Linked DNA regions of Arabidopsis thaliana. The protein of the gene in region 3 interacts with the protein of the main gene of each other region in a pairwise test. Each region holds a gene or a part of one and is shown on either strand. Other genes may lie near its edges. The genes, in order: BBX29, SPL13B, bbx23 and BBX15.

The links.
Region 1: the proteins of bbx23 (region 3) and BBX29 interact in a two-hybrid assay, tested with the Arabidopsis thaliana proteins (one large-scale study listed by BioGRID).
Region 2: the proteins of bbx23 (region 3) and SPL13B interact in a two-hybrid assay, tested with the Arabidopsis thaliana proteins (one large-scale study listed by BioGRID).
Region 4: the proteins of bbx23 (region 3) and BBX15 interact in a two-hybrid assay, tested with the Arabidopsis thaliana proteins (one large-scale study listed by BioGRID).

What each region holds. Positions count from the first base shown.
Region 1 is NC_003076.8:22,113,755-22,117,394, reverse strand, and holds BBX29 (B-box type zinc finger family protein), read left to right. Parts: upstream 1-1,855; 5' UTR 1,856-2,079; coding exon 2,080-2,574; intron 2,575-2,658; coding exon 2,659-2,811; 3' UTR 2,812-3,091; downstream 3,092-3,640.
Region 2 is NC_003076.8:20,615,155-20,619,933, reverse strand, and holds SPL13B (Squamosa promoter-binding protein-like (SBP domain) transcription factor family protein), read left to right. Parts: upstream 1-1,870; 5' UTR 1,871-2,226; intron 2,227-2,395; exon of another isoform or gene 2,396-2,770; 5' UTR 2,771-2,800; coding exon 2,801-3,240; intron 3,241-3,311; coding exon 3,312-3,445; intron 3,446-3,531; coding exon 3,532-4,037; 3' UTR 4,038-4,230; downstream 4,231-4,779. Other genes in the region: SAE1B (SUMO activating enzyme 1B), read right to left, coding at 96-212, 310-389, 474-669, 764-815, 1,010-1,092; AT5G50665 (uncharacterized protein), read right to left, coding at 4,766-4,779. UniProt on the Arabidopsis thaliana protein: Trans-acting factor that binds specifically to the consensus nucleotide sequence 5'-TNCGTACAA-3'.
Region 3 is NC_003075.7:6,368,319-6,371,658, reverse strand, and holds bbx23 (B-box zinc finger family protein), read left to right. Parts: upstream 1-1,708; 5' UTR 1,709-2,132; coding exon 2,133-2,333; intron 2,334-2,404; coding exon 2,405-2,692; 3' UTR 2,693-2,830; downstream 2,831-3,340. Other genes in the region: AT4G10260 (pfkB-like carbohydrate kinase family protein), read left to right, coding at 39-173; ATHSP22.0 (HSP20-like chaperones superfamily protein), read right to left, coding at 535-1,122. UniProt on the Arabidopsis thaliana protein: Probable transcription factor that may be involved in seedling photomorphogenesis.
Region 4 is NC_003070.9:8,933,192-8,937,221, forward strand, and holds BBX15 (B-box type zinc finger protein with CCT domain-containing protein), read right to left. Parts: upstream 2,354-4,030; 5' UTR 2,094-2,353; coding exon 1,095-2,093; intron 1,003-1,094; coding exon 748-1,002; 3' UTR 525-747; downstream 1-524.

The DNA.
Region 1 (3,640 bases), on a different chromosome or scaffold from region 3:
ATCCCTGATAAAAAGAATCAAACGTGGAATGGTCCGAATGAATAAAATCTTAGTGTACATATATATAAATCATATAATTTGATAGAATTTATGTTGAAAATGTAAATAATATGTATTTTTATCAACAAAAAAATTTAAAATTATTATAATTGGGTTGATCACCCATACTGAACAAATTTAACAATTTCTATTGTAAATTTGTAATCCACTTCTCTTTTTAATAAATCTTTAAAGAAACTTGCAAAAGAAAACATAAATGGAAAAGAACTAACAAAAAATAAGGAGTAATTCGTAAGATAGATGTGTATTGATTCGAGGCTTCTTCTAAGTTGTTCTAAAGTTGTCATCCACAAACATTTAAAAGTAAAAAAACAAAAAACCATAAAACTCAAAACACCTCCACTCATCAGCGCTTTTTTAATGCATGTGGCTCTCAAATGAAGACATCTCGTGTTCCTTTGATTCTTCACAATTCACACTTCACCCTTTACACCACTAATCTTCGCCACGTAAAAATTTCTCAAGCATGTTACGTAGGCCCAACTTTACCATTTTTTTTGTTCTTATATATATTTTACGTATTATTTGTTATCCTAAAATGACTTTCAATCCATCTTTGCTAGTCTTAATCTCGATTTCGTGATACAAATTAATTCCTTTGATCAAATGAATACAAATAATCAAATTAATTCATCTTTGATCATAGATGAATTAGTTTGTTCTATGGATCAAAACCACAGATCAAACTCTATCATACAAAAATCGTTGTGATTTTCTTTTAAAAACTCACAACTGTAAACATTTGAAATGACAAAAAATATTTGTCTAACTACAAGCTTCTTAGCTATCTATCTATCCTGTTTTTTAGATAAAAATTCGTAATACCTTTCATTTTTTTAATCCAGGTTTAATAATTTTTCAAATATATATTCTATATTCTTTTTAATTACCATTAGCAAATAACAAGTAATATATCGAATTGCCAATGATGTGAAGTAAAAATGTAAAATTAGTGGTTGGATTTATTTATTTATTTTTATTTAGAGAAAAAGACATTTAACTCGAATTATGTAAAATATGGAACGCTAAAAGTGGTTGATAAAATCATAAAATTAGGTTCTTCTCCTAGTAACCATGTTGATTCATGGACACCAAAATTTCCGAACCCAAAATGCGATATTAAAAATCCGATCATCATTATTATCCTACCGTAATACCAACGATATAAATGATATTTAATTCACTTTTCATTTTCGAAAACAAAACGCTTGGACCGGAACGAGAGAGGAATACTGAAAAAAGTAAAAAATGAAAGAAAAAAGAGTGGACCCATTAGACGTGTATTGAGGACCAGACAAATCCCAGGTGCGGATCACGTGGTTCTAAGTCTATTACAGAACCTGATTCGTCCACGTAGGATAACTCAGAATCTTCCCTCTCCTCTATACGAGGCTAATATCTCGCCACGTCATTAACTAAAAATCTAACCGCATAAAAATATCTGATGAAACATAAAACGAATAATATCTCGACACGTAAGACTTCGCCCATAGGAGAGCCTTGTCCCAGTACATGGTTTCAGGACCAAGTAAATAACAACATTTCCTTTAATTTTTATTATTATTATCATCTCTCCTAAATTTAAGAATTCGAGAATAATACTCAGCCGCGGAAACCTTAATCAATTTCAAACACAGATTTAGAACTACTAATACAAAATTATCCACAAATTATCCACCATAAAAATTAAAGTTTGAACGAATCCTTTAATCTTATTCTAATTTAAAATTAGGAAGCTTCTTTGCATTTCATTAAAAAATTACGTGAAAAATCGTTTCGTTAATATCAAAAAGACGACAATATCCTCGAAAAGAATTAAATCACATAAAAGTCGCCACGAAATTCTCATTTTACAATTCTCTATTACGCTGTCTCTTATTCGTGTCCGCAGAAGAAACGAGAGAAGAGAGAGAAGCAAAAGACCTTACCAAGAATATTTATAACACACAAACATCTAGAGACAGAGATAGACATAGAGAGAGAGCTTGTGGTTGTGGTTGTGCGAGATAATATCTAGAGATGGGGAAGAAGAAGTGCGAGTTATGTTGTGGTGTAGCGAGAATGTATTGTGAGTCAGATCAAGCGAGTTTATGTTGGGATTGTGACGGTAAAGTTCACGGAGCTAATTTTCTGGTGGCGAAACACATGCGTTGTCTTCTATGTAGCGCGTGTCAGTCACACACGCCTTGGAAAGCTTCTGGGCTGAATCTTGGCCCAACTGTTTCTATCTGTGAGTCTTGTTTAGCTCGTAAGAAGAATAACAACAGCTCCCTCGCCGGGAGGGATCAGAATCTTAACCAAGAAGAAGAGATCATTGGTTGTAACGACGGAGCTGAGTCTTATGATGAGGAAAGCGATGAGGATGAAGAAGAAGAAGAAGTGGAGAATCAGGTTGTTCCGGCTGCGGTGGAGCAAGAACTTCCGGTGGTGAGTTCGTCGTCTTCGGTTAGTAGTGGTGAAGGAGATCAGGTGGTGAAAAGGACGAGACTTGATTTGGATCTTAACCTCTCCGATGTATGAATATGAATCTTTTTCTTTATCTTCTTTTATTATTAGGAAATGATTAAGAAATCTGAAACAATTCTTTTTGAAATGCAGGAGGAGAACCAATCTAGACCATTGAAAAGATTATCGAGAGACGAAGGTTTGTCAAGATCAACTGTTGTGATGAATAGCTCAATCGTGAAATTACACGGAGGGAGGAGAAAAGCAGAGGGATGTGATACATCATCGTCGTCTTCGTTTTATTGAAATCGCCAAGGAAAGTAGAGATTGTAGCCGTTGATGATTCTTTTGTTTGGTTGATTAGATTAATCCTCATCGTTCATTTACTAACAACAATACTTTTAGTGAGTTGAGTTAGTTTAAAAACATTTCAATATAATGATTTTTTTTTGTGTTTTTTTTTCTGTGTTACCTAGAATATATATGTTCATATGTCTAGTATAAAATCATATAACATAAAAAATAAAATGAAGCAAAGTTGTTCAGAAAATGATTAAGAAAATGAAGCTGTTTTCTATTTATTTATTTTTTAACGAAAATGATTAAGAAAATTAATTAGTGAAACAAGAGATATTATTATAAATTTATAACGTGAGAAGGATTACCAGCCAAAACCAAAATTTATTATGATGTCAATTTTATTTGCCTTCCCAGAACTAGAAGTGTCTGTGTCATTGTGATGTTACAACTGAAGAGTACATAACGTATGAATGTCCGTTAGCTTTGTAAATTGTAACTACGACCACTAAAAAGAATCAAACAAAAAAGTTGTCAAGACTTAGAAAAAAGAAGATATTTAGTACCATGGGGTCCTCCTTTAAAGTTTTTTTAAAAAAAATTTATTTGTCAAACGCTTTGAACCCATCGTGTCTTTTGTATCTAAACCGTGTTCGAAGCTCCAAAAAAATAAAAAATGATGCTCTCATGATTTATATGTAACTAAATAAATTGGTTTTATTTCTAATTTTGAATCTATTTGTTTTGTGAGAAATGAGAAGATCCAAGTTTTTGGTTTCTTGATCGTATATGATAAATACAGTATACAGTAATTCAATTCATGGTAGTTAGAGAATTG
Region 2 (4,779 bases), on a different chromosome or scaffold from region 3:
CAAAATTGACAATAGAGAAAGAAAGTTAACACATTATATGCCAAAAGAAAGGCATGTGATATACAACCGTCAAAAGAAAAAAACGAGATGAGTACCTTTGTGTACTTATAATTCTGAAGGTCGACAAATATTTCGCCACATGAGCCTCTACAATCAACTGTATAGAACGCTACATCTTTTGCTAGGTTCCTACACTTTTCATTAACTGCTTTCTGCATAACAAAGCACATTATTTCAAGTGATCAATCTACATGGCAACAAAAGACAAAAACAACTGGAACAACTAAAAGAAGGAGGTATCAACAGTACCTTAGTAGCACGAGAACTGTAGCCGATAACCACAACATCAAACTTCTCGAAAAAATCAACACCAAGTGTTGACAAATCACCTGAAATTGAAGACATAGACTCGATGTTACTAAAATCATTTGTTTCTACTAAAATTAGAGAGAAATGAAGAAAGGAGGAGTAACCTTTCTCTATTGAAACATGAACCATAGGGTTAAAATCCTTAAGTGAATCACAACAAATCTCAGCTACGGTTTTGCCTACATAAGCATTTTCATCAGGAAGAATCAAGAAGTTTGCGTTGAAGACTTCCGTTGTAACCAATCGATCATCCAACAGAGTCACACTACCTACTCCTGCCAACACAATGTTCTTACAAAACTGCAACACCAAATGGAGGAAACCAAGTAAGATGCCAACACTCACTCTACTGCAACATAGCTAATAGAGAGTCACAAAATAAAGTAAGAGGTACCTCAGCAACAGTGCCCTTAATTCCAGATACCAAAACATGAGATTTACTCAATCTGCAAGCAAAAACACAAAACAAAATTCAGAGAAGCCCTAATCAAAATTTCAACAGCTAAATTAGCTTAAAACCCAGAAAGAGATAAACTTTCACCGAGTATAGCCCAACAAGAAGAGTTTATTAGTACTCAAACGGAAAATCAATAACTTGTTGTTGCTTGAAGCCATAGAAGTTAGATTCAATGTGAAGTACCTTCTTTGAGCACCAGCTCCCCATACCCTAATTTGACGGTCATAAAGAGCAGTTTCCTGCTCGGTGAGCTCATCTCCGTCCATTCTCGTAGTGAAACCCTAGAACCGACCTCGAAGAGATGATCAAACCCGTCACGAATCTACTACAAGAGGTTTTCGGTGACTCACTCACTGAGTTTGAGATTTTTTGTTAACCGGAAAATTGCTTTCTTTTTATTTATTCAAATTACATGGTTTGTTTTGGTTTGGTCCGGTTCGTCAACTACAAATTTTTAAATTCAAAACAACTGTGCATTCAATAAATAACCAATTTGTTATTTTTTAGGACAATTTATGGGCCGAAACAAATGAAACATGGGCTTTGGACCCCAAATCTTTTAAATCCATCTGCAAAACTTTTAAAGACATGGAAGACTTTTATACGATTCTCCCTGATAATTGACAACTTGTGTGACCCGTAACTATGAAAGTCAAAGAAAATAACGCGTATCGGTGGAAAGAGAGAAGAAAAAAAACAGAAGAAGATGTTGTGTAATGCGAAGCACAACATTCACATGCTATGTTTTTTGCCGTAAACAACTAAGCATCCTATACCTCTTTCTTTAGTATCACTTTCCAATTTATTGTTTCATTTTCATCATCATCATAGTTATAAAAAAGAAAAAACCACATCTATTTTATATCACAATTTGAAAACTAATATATTTTGGATAAGGGTCAGTAAAAAGATACAAGATTTATGAGTAATTTGAAATTTTCAAAAGTATACTCTGTTCATTCATAAAAATCGGATGCTCAGAGTTCAGAATTGATGAATGGCAGAGAAAAATATAAACAAAGAAAAGTTGAAAAAGTAAGCAAAAGAACAATCAACAACAGCTGTCACTTTCCTCCATTCTTTTCTTCACTTTTTCTTACTCAAAGTTTTTAAAAAATGATATCAATAAAACCCTAAATCAGGAAAGTAAAGTTACAATTAAAGTAAGTAAATCATTTCTTAACTTAGTAATAGCTATTATCATCAATTTCTCTCTCTCTTTCCTCTTTCTCTTATTTGCATTATTGAAGTAGCAGCCACACTTGTTGTCTCCACTTTCTCTTGCTAAACTCCATCATCTTCTCTTTCTTTTTTTTCACTTGTCCCATTTTTTTATATTTTCATCTTTCTCTTTTGGAGTTTCTTCTTCTACTGACTCTACTGGTAGGTGTATGGATTTGGTAAGATTTCTCAACCTTCAAACAACAAACTTTTCTTATTCTATAGTTTTTTTTAATGTAATAACATGTTTATAATCTTACTTTAATCTTTCATTTTTATTGCATTTTTTTAATTCTTGCTTGGAATTGAGTAGACAGAAAAAAAGTTTTTTGTTTTTTTTTTTGTTTTCCTTTCTTCCCATTTTGTGGGATCTGTTCTAGTTTCTATGTTTCTGCACTTCTCATTTCGTTTTTTCAGTACAATTAGTTTGCCTTTTTTGGGATTTTTTTTTTGTTTTTTTTTCAATATCAAAATAGATCATTTTGTTAGAGCTTCAACTACAATTTCAGAGTACTCTTTATAATTGTGTTTTTGCTTTTTGCTTATGCTTTTTTATTTTCCTTCATATGTATTGAAGTTGAAGTTTAATTGAGTTAAAGATTCATGGGTTTTATGTTTACTAGTTGTTTTTGCTGTTTGTTCTTAAATTTAGAGTACCAATATCAAAAAGGACAAATCTTGATATTGCTTTGATTGCTGTTGTGTATGTATGTGTTTTTATAGTGAGAGAAGAAAAAAAAGCACAATCTTTGAATGGACTGGAATTTCAAACTTAGCTCTGGTTATTTATCTGGATTCGATCAAGAACCAGATTTATCACCAATGGATGGTTCGATCTCGTTTGGTGGGTCGTCACAGTCAAAAGCGGATTTTTCATTTGATCTAAAACTTGGAAGAAACATTGGAAACTCTTCCTCTGTTTTTGGTGATACAGAGCAAGTGATTAGTCTTAGTAAGTGGAAAGATAGTGCTTTAGCTAAACCAGAAGGTTCAAGAAGCTCGAGTTCAAAGAGAACAAGAGGGAATGGTGTTGGAACCAACCAGATGCCGATTTGTCTTGTTGATGGATGTGATTCTGATTTTAGTAATTGTAGAGAGTATCATAAGAGACATAAAGTTTGTGATGTTCATTCAAAAACTCCTGTGGTTACTATTAATGGTCATAAACAGAGGTTTTGTCAACAATGCAGCAGGTAAGATTGTGTGTTAATGGTTTAAGCTTCTTGTTGGGTTGGTGAAGATGTTAACATTTGTGTCTAATTAGGTTTCATGCTTTGGAGGAGTTTGATGAAGGGAAGAGAAGTTGTAGGAAACGTCTTGATGGACATAATCGAAGACGACGGAAGCCGCAGCCTGAACATATCGGTCGTCCTGCCAACTTCTTTACGGGTTTTCAAGGTTTCTGTTTTAAGAAAAGTTAGTTAGTTTCTTGAATCCAATAGACCGTTCCTTGTTGATGAAGAAGCATTGTTTTATGTTTTCAGGTAGCAAATTGCTAGAGTTTTCTGGTGGTTCACATGTGTTTCCAACTACATCTGTGTTGAACCCGAGCTGGGGAAATAGTCTTGTAAGCGTTGCTGTAGCCGCCAATGGTTCGAGTTATGGGCAGAGCCAGAGCTATGTTGTTGGTTCTTCTCCTGCAAAGACAGGGATAATGTTTCCAATCTCTTCTTCTCCAAACAGTACCAGAAGCATAGCAAAACAATTCCCTTTCTTGCAAGAAGAAGAAAGCTCGAGAACCGCATCGTTGTGTGAGAGAATGACGAGTTGCATCCATGACTCTGATTGTGCTCTCTCTCTTCTGTCATCCTCCTCGTCGTCAGTCCCTCATTTGCTTCAACCACCACTTTCTTTGTCCCAAGAAGCAGTTGAGACAGTTTTTTACGGGTCGGGATTGTTTGAGAATGCGAGTGCAGTCTCTGATGGATCGGTTATATCCGGTAACGAGGCTGTCCGTCTTCCGCAGACATTCCCGTTTCATTGGGAGTAGTAGAAGAAGAAGTAGGTAGATAGATAGAATCAGAAAGATCTATTTGTGTCTCTTCTCTTCTCCCTCATTTTTCAATGTTCTTTATCATCATCATTGTTCTTGTTAACACTACAAGAAATATGGACATTCTTAACACACCGAAAACGCTATAATAACGTTTACATAGCGGATTCATAAACGCTGTGTTTGCCGGAGCTATCTTAGAGTGGTCACATACAATAGCGTTTCTTGCTATGCTATTAAATGTTCACATATTATGGCGTAAAAGAAATGCTTTGATTTCCTTTGTTATTGCACAATTTTGATGTTATACTTTTGTAACTCTTTTTAAGGGCTATAAACTATTATTTTGTAGCTATATTTTATAGGCTATGATCTGATATGTTGTAGCTTTATTTTTTTGGCTATAAATCTATAAACAGCCTATAAGTTTGGGACATTTTGTTACACATTTGCAAGAAACCTCTTTTTGATCAAATTCAATATATATAAAATCTCCATACAAGTCTCAATCCAAGTCTTAACTAACATTACAATAACAAATGCCACAAGTAAAATGATATCACATCTTCTTTCTAACCTTGACTCGCTTCTCCAATTCTTCTCATAATCTTGTACAGTCTTCTTCTTCTCTCCAATCAAACTTCAAACTCGAATAGTGTAAAAATGAGTACTTGAGCAGATCTTACATGAAACTTAGAATTAACATCACTATCTCTTCTCTGAGCTTAAACACTTGATA
Region 3 (3,340 bases):
AATTGAGTTTTGGTGATTGAGTAATGTGAATGTTGCAGGATGAAGGGAAGCTGAAGGAAGCACTTGCCTTTGCAAATGCATGTGGAGCAGTGTGTACTACTCAGAAAGGAGCTATTCCTGCACTTCCCACTCCAGCTGATGCTCAAAAGCTCATGAAATCTAAGTCTAAATAGTTTCAATCTTGTTCTGTTCTGTTTCTGTTTCTTCACTCTTGTCAATTTCCTTGGTTTTCACAGAGTATTTTCTCTGTTATCTGAATAAATCTAGTTTCAAGTTTCTGCCAAAATTGATTCCAAACTAATTCATATACCTTGATTTTTAATTACATGACTAATGTTCTATAACAAATAATCAAGAGGCTCTATAATATAAAGAAATGAACATTTTATTGCATATAGAGAAGGTTACAGAGATTTTGGTAGATAGGTTACAAAACATGACACTCCATTTAGCTTACACAATATGAAACTCAAAACTCTTGGATTTATAATAACTCTCTTCAGACTCAGAAAGTAATATATAGTTTCTTCAATATCAGAGTTCTTTGGATTCAGAAGAGCTGATTTTTGCAGTTTGGTCTTCTTCAGCTGCAATGTTAACAACTCTTGGACCCTTAACTTTTTCAGGAGATAGTTTCGTGAGGTTAATAGTGAGCACACCATTCTCAAGCTTGGCCTTGACTGATTCCATATCTACATTATCAGGTAGCTTGAACTGTCTCCAGAATTTTCCATATGATCTCTCCACTCTATGCCATTGATCTCCTTTCTTCTCTTCTTCTCTTTTCCTCTCTCCACTGACTCGTAAAACTCCGTTCTCCTCCACTTCTATCTTTACTTCATCCTTCTTCAAACCGGGGATATCGAGCATTATCTCATGCCCTTCTGCTGTTTCTTTCCAGTCTACTCTTGCTGGAGACAGAGCCACGCTTGTGTCCCTCTCGAGTCCTAATGGGATTCTCTCCAAGATCTTGAATGGATCAGGGAACCGGTCTAGCCAGAGATCGGATAGCAAGCTGCCTGGAGTAGTTTCAAGTGCAGAAGACAAAGACCCTTCACTTGTTTTGATGTTTCCAAGCAACAAAGCTCCTATGAAGAAGATGCTTAGCAAGTGCTTCATCATGGTTAGTGATTTGGATTTATTGTAGAAGGTTGAAACCAAAATTTTAGGCTTTTAACTTCACTTTCTTATTTTGTTTTCTATGATGGTTAGTCTCAATTCTCTGGTGTATATATAATACACATTGTATGAAGAATGAAGAAGTTTCTTGAAATATCTTTCTTTTGGTAGAGTTTTGCAGAGAGAGATATTGAGATTGTTCTAGCTTTTTTGGCTGTGACTTGTACTAATTATGTTACTACACGTTGGATAAGTTTGTTGTGCCTTTAAGGGTCTTCTCTCATGTTCCAGAGACTTCATGTAAAAACTATGGATTGGATTGGGCCTTAATAGTTATTTATATCCAGGCCTATTTTTATTGGCCCATTATGATATTTGGGACCAATTCTGTTTGTGATGAGTCTTAGAATTTTGGCTGCTGCATGGGAAAGGAATGGGAGAGAGTTTGAATGATGCCATGCTCCATTTCAGTTTCTGACAACATTTTAGAGTTTTTGACCTCTATTGCCCTATGGCTAGTTACTTTTAATTCCACAGTCTTTATGCATATTGTGGTCCTGCCTTTACTTTTGGCTTGCCATGCTTGTGTCTTAAGAGAAGCTTGTCGCTATGTTTGTCAATTTATGTTTTCAAAAGAAAGTAAAACTATACAAGCTTCTGAAAAAGATCTTGTCATGGAGATTTTGGTAGGAGAACATTTATTGGTTTAAATGCCACCCAAAGTTGGTCTAATAACCCCATATTGAGATAAAAATTTCGTCTTCGACATATCGTTGTATATCTATATATAGTTCTCTCTTTTCATGAATAAAGATCATCAATTCCTCTTGGTATCAGAGCCAGGTTTTGATATAACTTATGATCCCACCACACATGTGAACTTATTTAAGCTTGTTCTTTCTTGTTTCCTATATTTAGATTCACTCCTTGTCCTAATTCTCATAAATGTCAAAGAACATTTGTTCTGTCTGTGTATTGGCAATTTACATTGATTTGGATTATAAAGTTGAAGGATGAAGATACAATGTGAAGTGTGTGAAAAGGCTGAAGCAGAAGTACTTTGTTGTTCAGATGAAGCTGTACTATGCAAGCCATGTGACATTAAGGTTCATGAAGCTAATAAACTTTTCCAAAGACATCACCGAGTCGCCTTACAAAAAGATGCAGCCTCAGCCACCACAGCTTCTGGAGCTCCTCTATGTGATATCTGCCAGGTTCCAATCTCTTTTCTCTTTAAACACTCGCTGAGCTCTTTAACCGATGTCTCATATATATGTATATGCAGGAGAGAAAAGGGTACTTCTTCTGCTTAGAGGATAGAGCAATGCTGTGCAATGATTGTGATGAAGCCATTCACACTTGCAATTCTCACCAAAGATTCTTACTTTCTGGAGTACAAGTTTCTGATCAGTCTTTGACTGAAAACTCCGAATGCAGCACTAGTTTTAGCTCTGAAACTTACCAGATTCAGTCAAAAGTGTCTCTGAATAGTCAGTACTCTAGTGAGGAAACTGAAGCTGGAAACTCAGGTGAGATAGTACACAAGAATCCTTCTGTAATCTTAAGTCCTTAGAGATATACACACAACATCATGGTTCCGGAGCCATTGATGTTTAATAATAAAAGTTTCTGTAATATATTATCTTACACAGAAGAAAAACTTGTTGAGGAATCAAATCTTTTTGTTACAACAAATATTAAAACCATGACTTAACAACTAAAGTCAGTGGTCATGGCATCGACACAACCAAAGCTAAGTTGTTCCAATAGTTTCAAGAATTGTAGAAATGTGAATACTATTTGAATCGATCTTAGATATATAAACAAAATTTAAAAAATGAATAAATAATTATTGATTAAATATAATTATTTATCTCAAATATCAAGACTTGGATAGAAAATGCATAACTTAATGAGACAGTCATAGATTACTACTATTAGCTCTTGTACTTTCTTTTTGCCTCACTACAAGAACTATAGACCTTGTTGGATTTGAACCAACGTTGGAACATAACTGATTAAGAAGTGACCATTGAGATTCTTCCTCATCATGATCCAATTGTATACATTTATCTTCTCCCACAACGTGTAAAAAAACGTTGGAGACCCCATGCTTACCACGACACACCAAAACTTTGTTCTCCTGGTCGACCAAAAATTTATCCCACTAGCAAACCAAAAAGGCTTGTAGAAACTTTCTCCATGACGCGGCTCCGGTACC
Region 4 (4,030 bases), on a different chromosome or scaffold from region 3:
GGTACCAAGAAATTTCGTTCTTATGTTGGTATCAAACAAAACTTGTTTGAAATTATCCATCTTACCAATAATATCAAACACCACCAATATTAACATTTCTTATGTACCACAATTAATAATGGGTCGTTGATAACGATTTGATGATATTAACGCTTATAGATATTTGGTCCAATATACGCTTGTGTGGTAGTTAGTAGCCATTTTCATCTTTTAGCTAGAAATTAAGAAGAAATTGGACTATACAGAAAAAAATGCGACATCAATTGGCAATGACAATGACAATTCACGGAAAACTTGTTCATTCTGCATATTATAGTTTGCTGTCTAGCCATTTTTGTGTTTGAAATCCCGATTCTGATTCTTTTAGGATAATATAGTGTTACCAGATATCAAAAAGTTTTTCAAATAGTTTAAAACTATTTCTTATTTTTTAGAGTTCGTAAAGATGATCAATCGATTTTTTTTAAGAGAATCAGTTTTTTGTTCTTATGTTCGTTCCATGGTAAACATGTTTAAGATAGAGTAATTTAACAATCAAAATGCCTTTGCAGTTTGCACATTCTTATTACCAGATATATACATCAGTGCTATCAATACAAGTAAAAGTCACATTATTATTGGTTACTTCTATGTACATACAAGTCCTCAAAGCACAATTAAGTGCCAAAATAACTTCTGTTGTTTCAGAAGAAAAAAGATTCACCGAAATTTGTAAAGTGAGATATAACATGAATAGATATTAACTATTCAGTAATTAACACCTAATGGTGAAGCAGCAGCAGCGAGCGAGGCTCTCTTCACGAATCTTCCTTTCATTCGTGGTCTTTTCTCTGCATTCAATTTACGTACCTCGTACCGTATCTTCTTAGAAAACAACCTTGTCCTCCTCTTCTCTCTGTATCTCGAAACTCTAGCTTCTCTACCTCCATCTCCAAACCCACTTGATGGTAAACATCCACCAACGTATTGCTTCTGATGAGTACTTTCTCCTCCATTCTCCACCTAAAACATATTATTTCAACTTTTAGAAATTTGAGAACAGTAAACTCACTTTTATTTGAATTCTATAAGAATGAGGATTTTAAATAACGTACCATGGAAAAGGCTGGCCAACCGCTGATGTCCATGTCTCGTTCCGGTGGCTCTCCTGAACTCCACGGTGGACCTTGACCTCCCCAAGTGGATATCACCGAGTCATAGTTTAATCTTAGCATCAGAACATTCTTATGTTCTTCCTCTTTCACCTTAACAACACATTCACCACTACTTTCAACGTTCTTCATTACCTCTTCTTCGGACGTCTTGTGTGACGACTCGTAATCAAAGCTTAGCTCAAACGGTACTGTTCCATCCACGTCTTTTCGATCATCATCAAATATATCCATGCTCATGGCTTTTATCTCTTCTACTTCTTCTTCAATCTCATCTTTTTCGATTTTGAACATCTCTGAATTAGATAACCCTAGCTCCTCCATGGCATACGACTCCGTGTCTAACCCGCGACCGAGCAGAGTCTCCACGTCAGCAGCAAACTCCTCAAGCTCCATGTCGGTCGGGAAAAATCCATTAAGACAACTTTCAGCGTTGTCTTCCTCCTCCTCGATCATCAAACCACTTCTGATCATAGGAAACTCGATCTTGGGCTCAACGACATCGTTCAAGAACTGCTCAGACACCAACGGATCTAGAACCGGCACTTGACAGATCAGCTGCTCTTCAAGCTCATAGTTGTCTGTCTGATCCTCAATACTAATATCAGGAACCAAGTCATGAAATATCGACGAATTGTTTTTCTTACCAGAGCCACGTGGCGTTCGAGCTTTACGAGTAAACCCGTGATGCCACGTGGCGACCTCATGTGGAGGAGAAGCTGATGAGTGGTTGCTATGCTTTACGACCGCCGGGCTAGCCGTCTTCAAACGGACTCTCTCGTGGCGGCGAGCAAGAGGGTTTGCTGAATGGACCAAACTGTCGCAAGACTGGCAAAGAAAAGCATCGTCGGCCGCGCAGTACCACCGTGCACGTCTCTTCACGCAGCTGTCGCAAGCCCTCGCCGTCTTCGCTCCAACAGCATTCGCCAAACTTTTCATCATTGTATACAAAGTCTACACAACCAACATCAACGACAAGAGCACGAGAGCTTTGGTTTTGAGATCAATCTCAATTATTGAATCTTTTGCTCTCTGCAAAAAGTTAGATTTAGTGTAGTCCTAGAGAGTTTGAGATTAAGAGGATGACCCGCATGAAGCGCATTCCCTTTTGTGTCAGTGGATTTTTGAAGTTATAAGAAAAATTATGTACTTTTTGGGTGTTTATGTCTTCAGTTAGGGACCCATGACGAGGCCTTATCTGATTTGTGATTGGTTGAGTTCTGAAGATGATCTTCGTAATAGTGTTTTAATTGGTCAGCTTCTTTATCCATTGGATTTCTTGTGTGGTCTACCTTGTCGTTTTCCTTGCCCAATCACTCTTTTTTTTTTTTCAATATTCAAGACTTTTTGTGATTTTTGTTATTTCTTTTTTCCTTTTTTTAGTAGCAAAGGTTTCAGCTTTGACATTTTTTCCTTTTCTTCCACCATTTTTTTAGAGACTATATAATAACTACTAACTTTGACTATGGATAAAATAATTTTTTTAGCTAAATAGTTTTTCTCCAATTTTGGTAATACTTATCAACAAACATTGATTCACTTTTTAGAAATCTGAGAAATATCTTAGCAAAAAGCATTGATTCAATTTTTTGAAGTTTGAAGTTGAAGGAAGATTTGATTGGATAGAAGTTTTTAAGCTACAATGGTTGATTATTTGATTAAACAAATAAATTTAAGAAAATGAATGTGGAGATTTATCATAAATGATAAATTGGTACAATATTTATTATTAATTATTCTTATTTTGGTGCACCATGTGTTGCCAGGTTCATTTATCTATTGGTTAGTCTTGTCCAATAGAAAATATTATTATCAACACAGAGTTAATTATAGCTATCAATATAAAATCATAATAAAGACTACTCATGTGATATGAACTATTACCTAGACAAAAGTGATATCCTCATTTGGAGAAAGGCGATATTGTACCCAAGAGAAATATGGTAAGACAAAAGGTAAGTTTTATTTAGTAAATAACCTTAAAAATGCGTAATTTGTAATTTTATTTTCATCAAAGATAATAGTTTCACGGGTGATATTAACATGTATTCATTTTTAGTAACATGTTTTATTCATAATGTCGCATTATTACAATTCAATCACATATGTTATCATCATGTCAACTATACCCACTAATTACTGGTTAGCATAAGGAAAAAAGCAATTAGTAAGCATAACTTTATTGGTAACATGATTAATAAGATATTTCATGAAAACAAAATTACATTTGTTTAGGGTTATAACCTAAGTATATGATTAGAATTATAAATTTGCATTCACATTCCATCCAATCTACTTATGTTATTGATATATAGATGTACATTTGATGCACACAATTAAATGTAGGAAGCCTCATTATCATAAGAAGAACGAGCAGCCACTATTACTAGGATTTTAAAATCGAAAACATAATACTATATTTAAATGACAATATTTCCTATTTCAATAGCAAAGTGAAATAAAAAAAAAAACTCAAATGGAGTTAATACCACTAAACTACGATTAATTAATGACTATGGATCCACTAATATTGAAGGCTAATCAGTTTGGTTACAAAGTATAACATTAATTCTCACATATTATTTTACATGAACAAGTAATTTTTTGGATTGTATTTCTGTAGAAAAAAAAAGAAAAAAGTGAAGAACATGTTGTTTATTAGAGATGAGGGAGGACTGATCGAGTTACGTAAGAGGCCTTTATCACTGGGCTAAATAATGTGTCGGCTCAAAACTCAAATATATATGGGCCGATATAATTAATAAAATTCTGCAAACGAACTTTACTTTATAAATTTTAATACAAGCCCCATAATTCGAGCCCACGAATCCCTACAAATTCTTACGGAAACCGTAAAATTGAAACTGAGACATATGTAG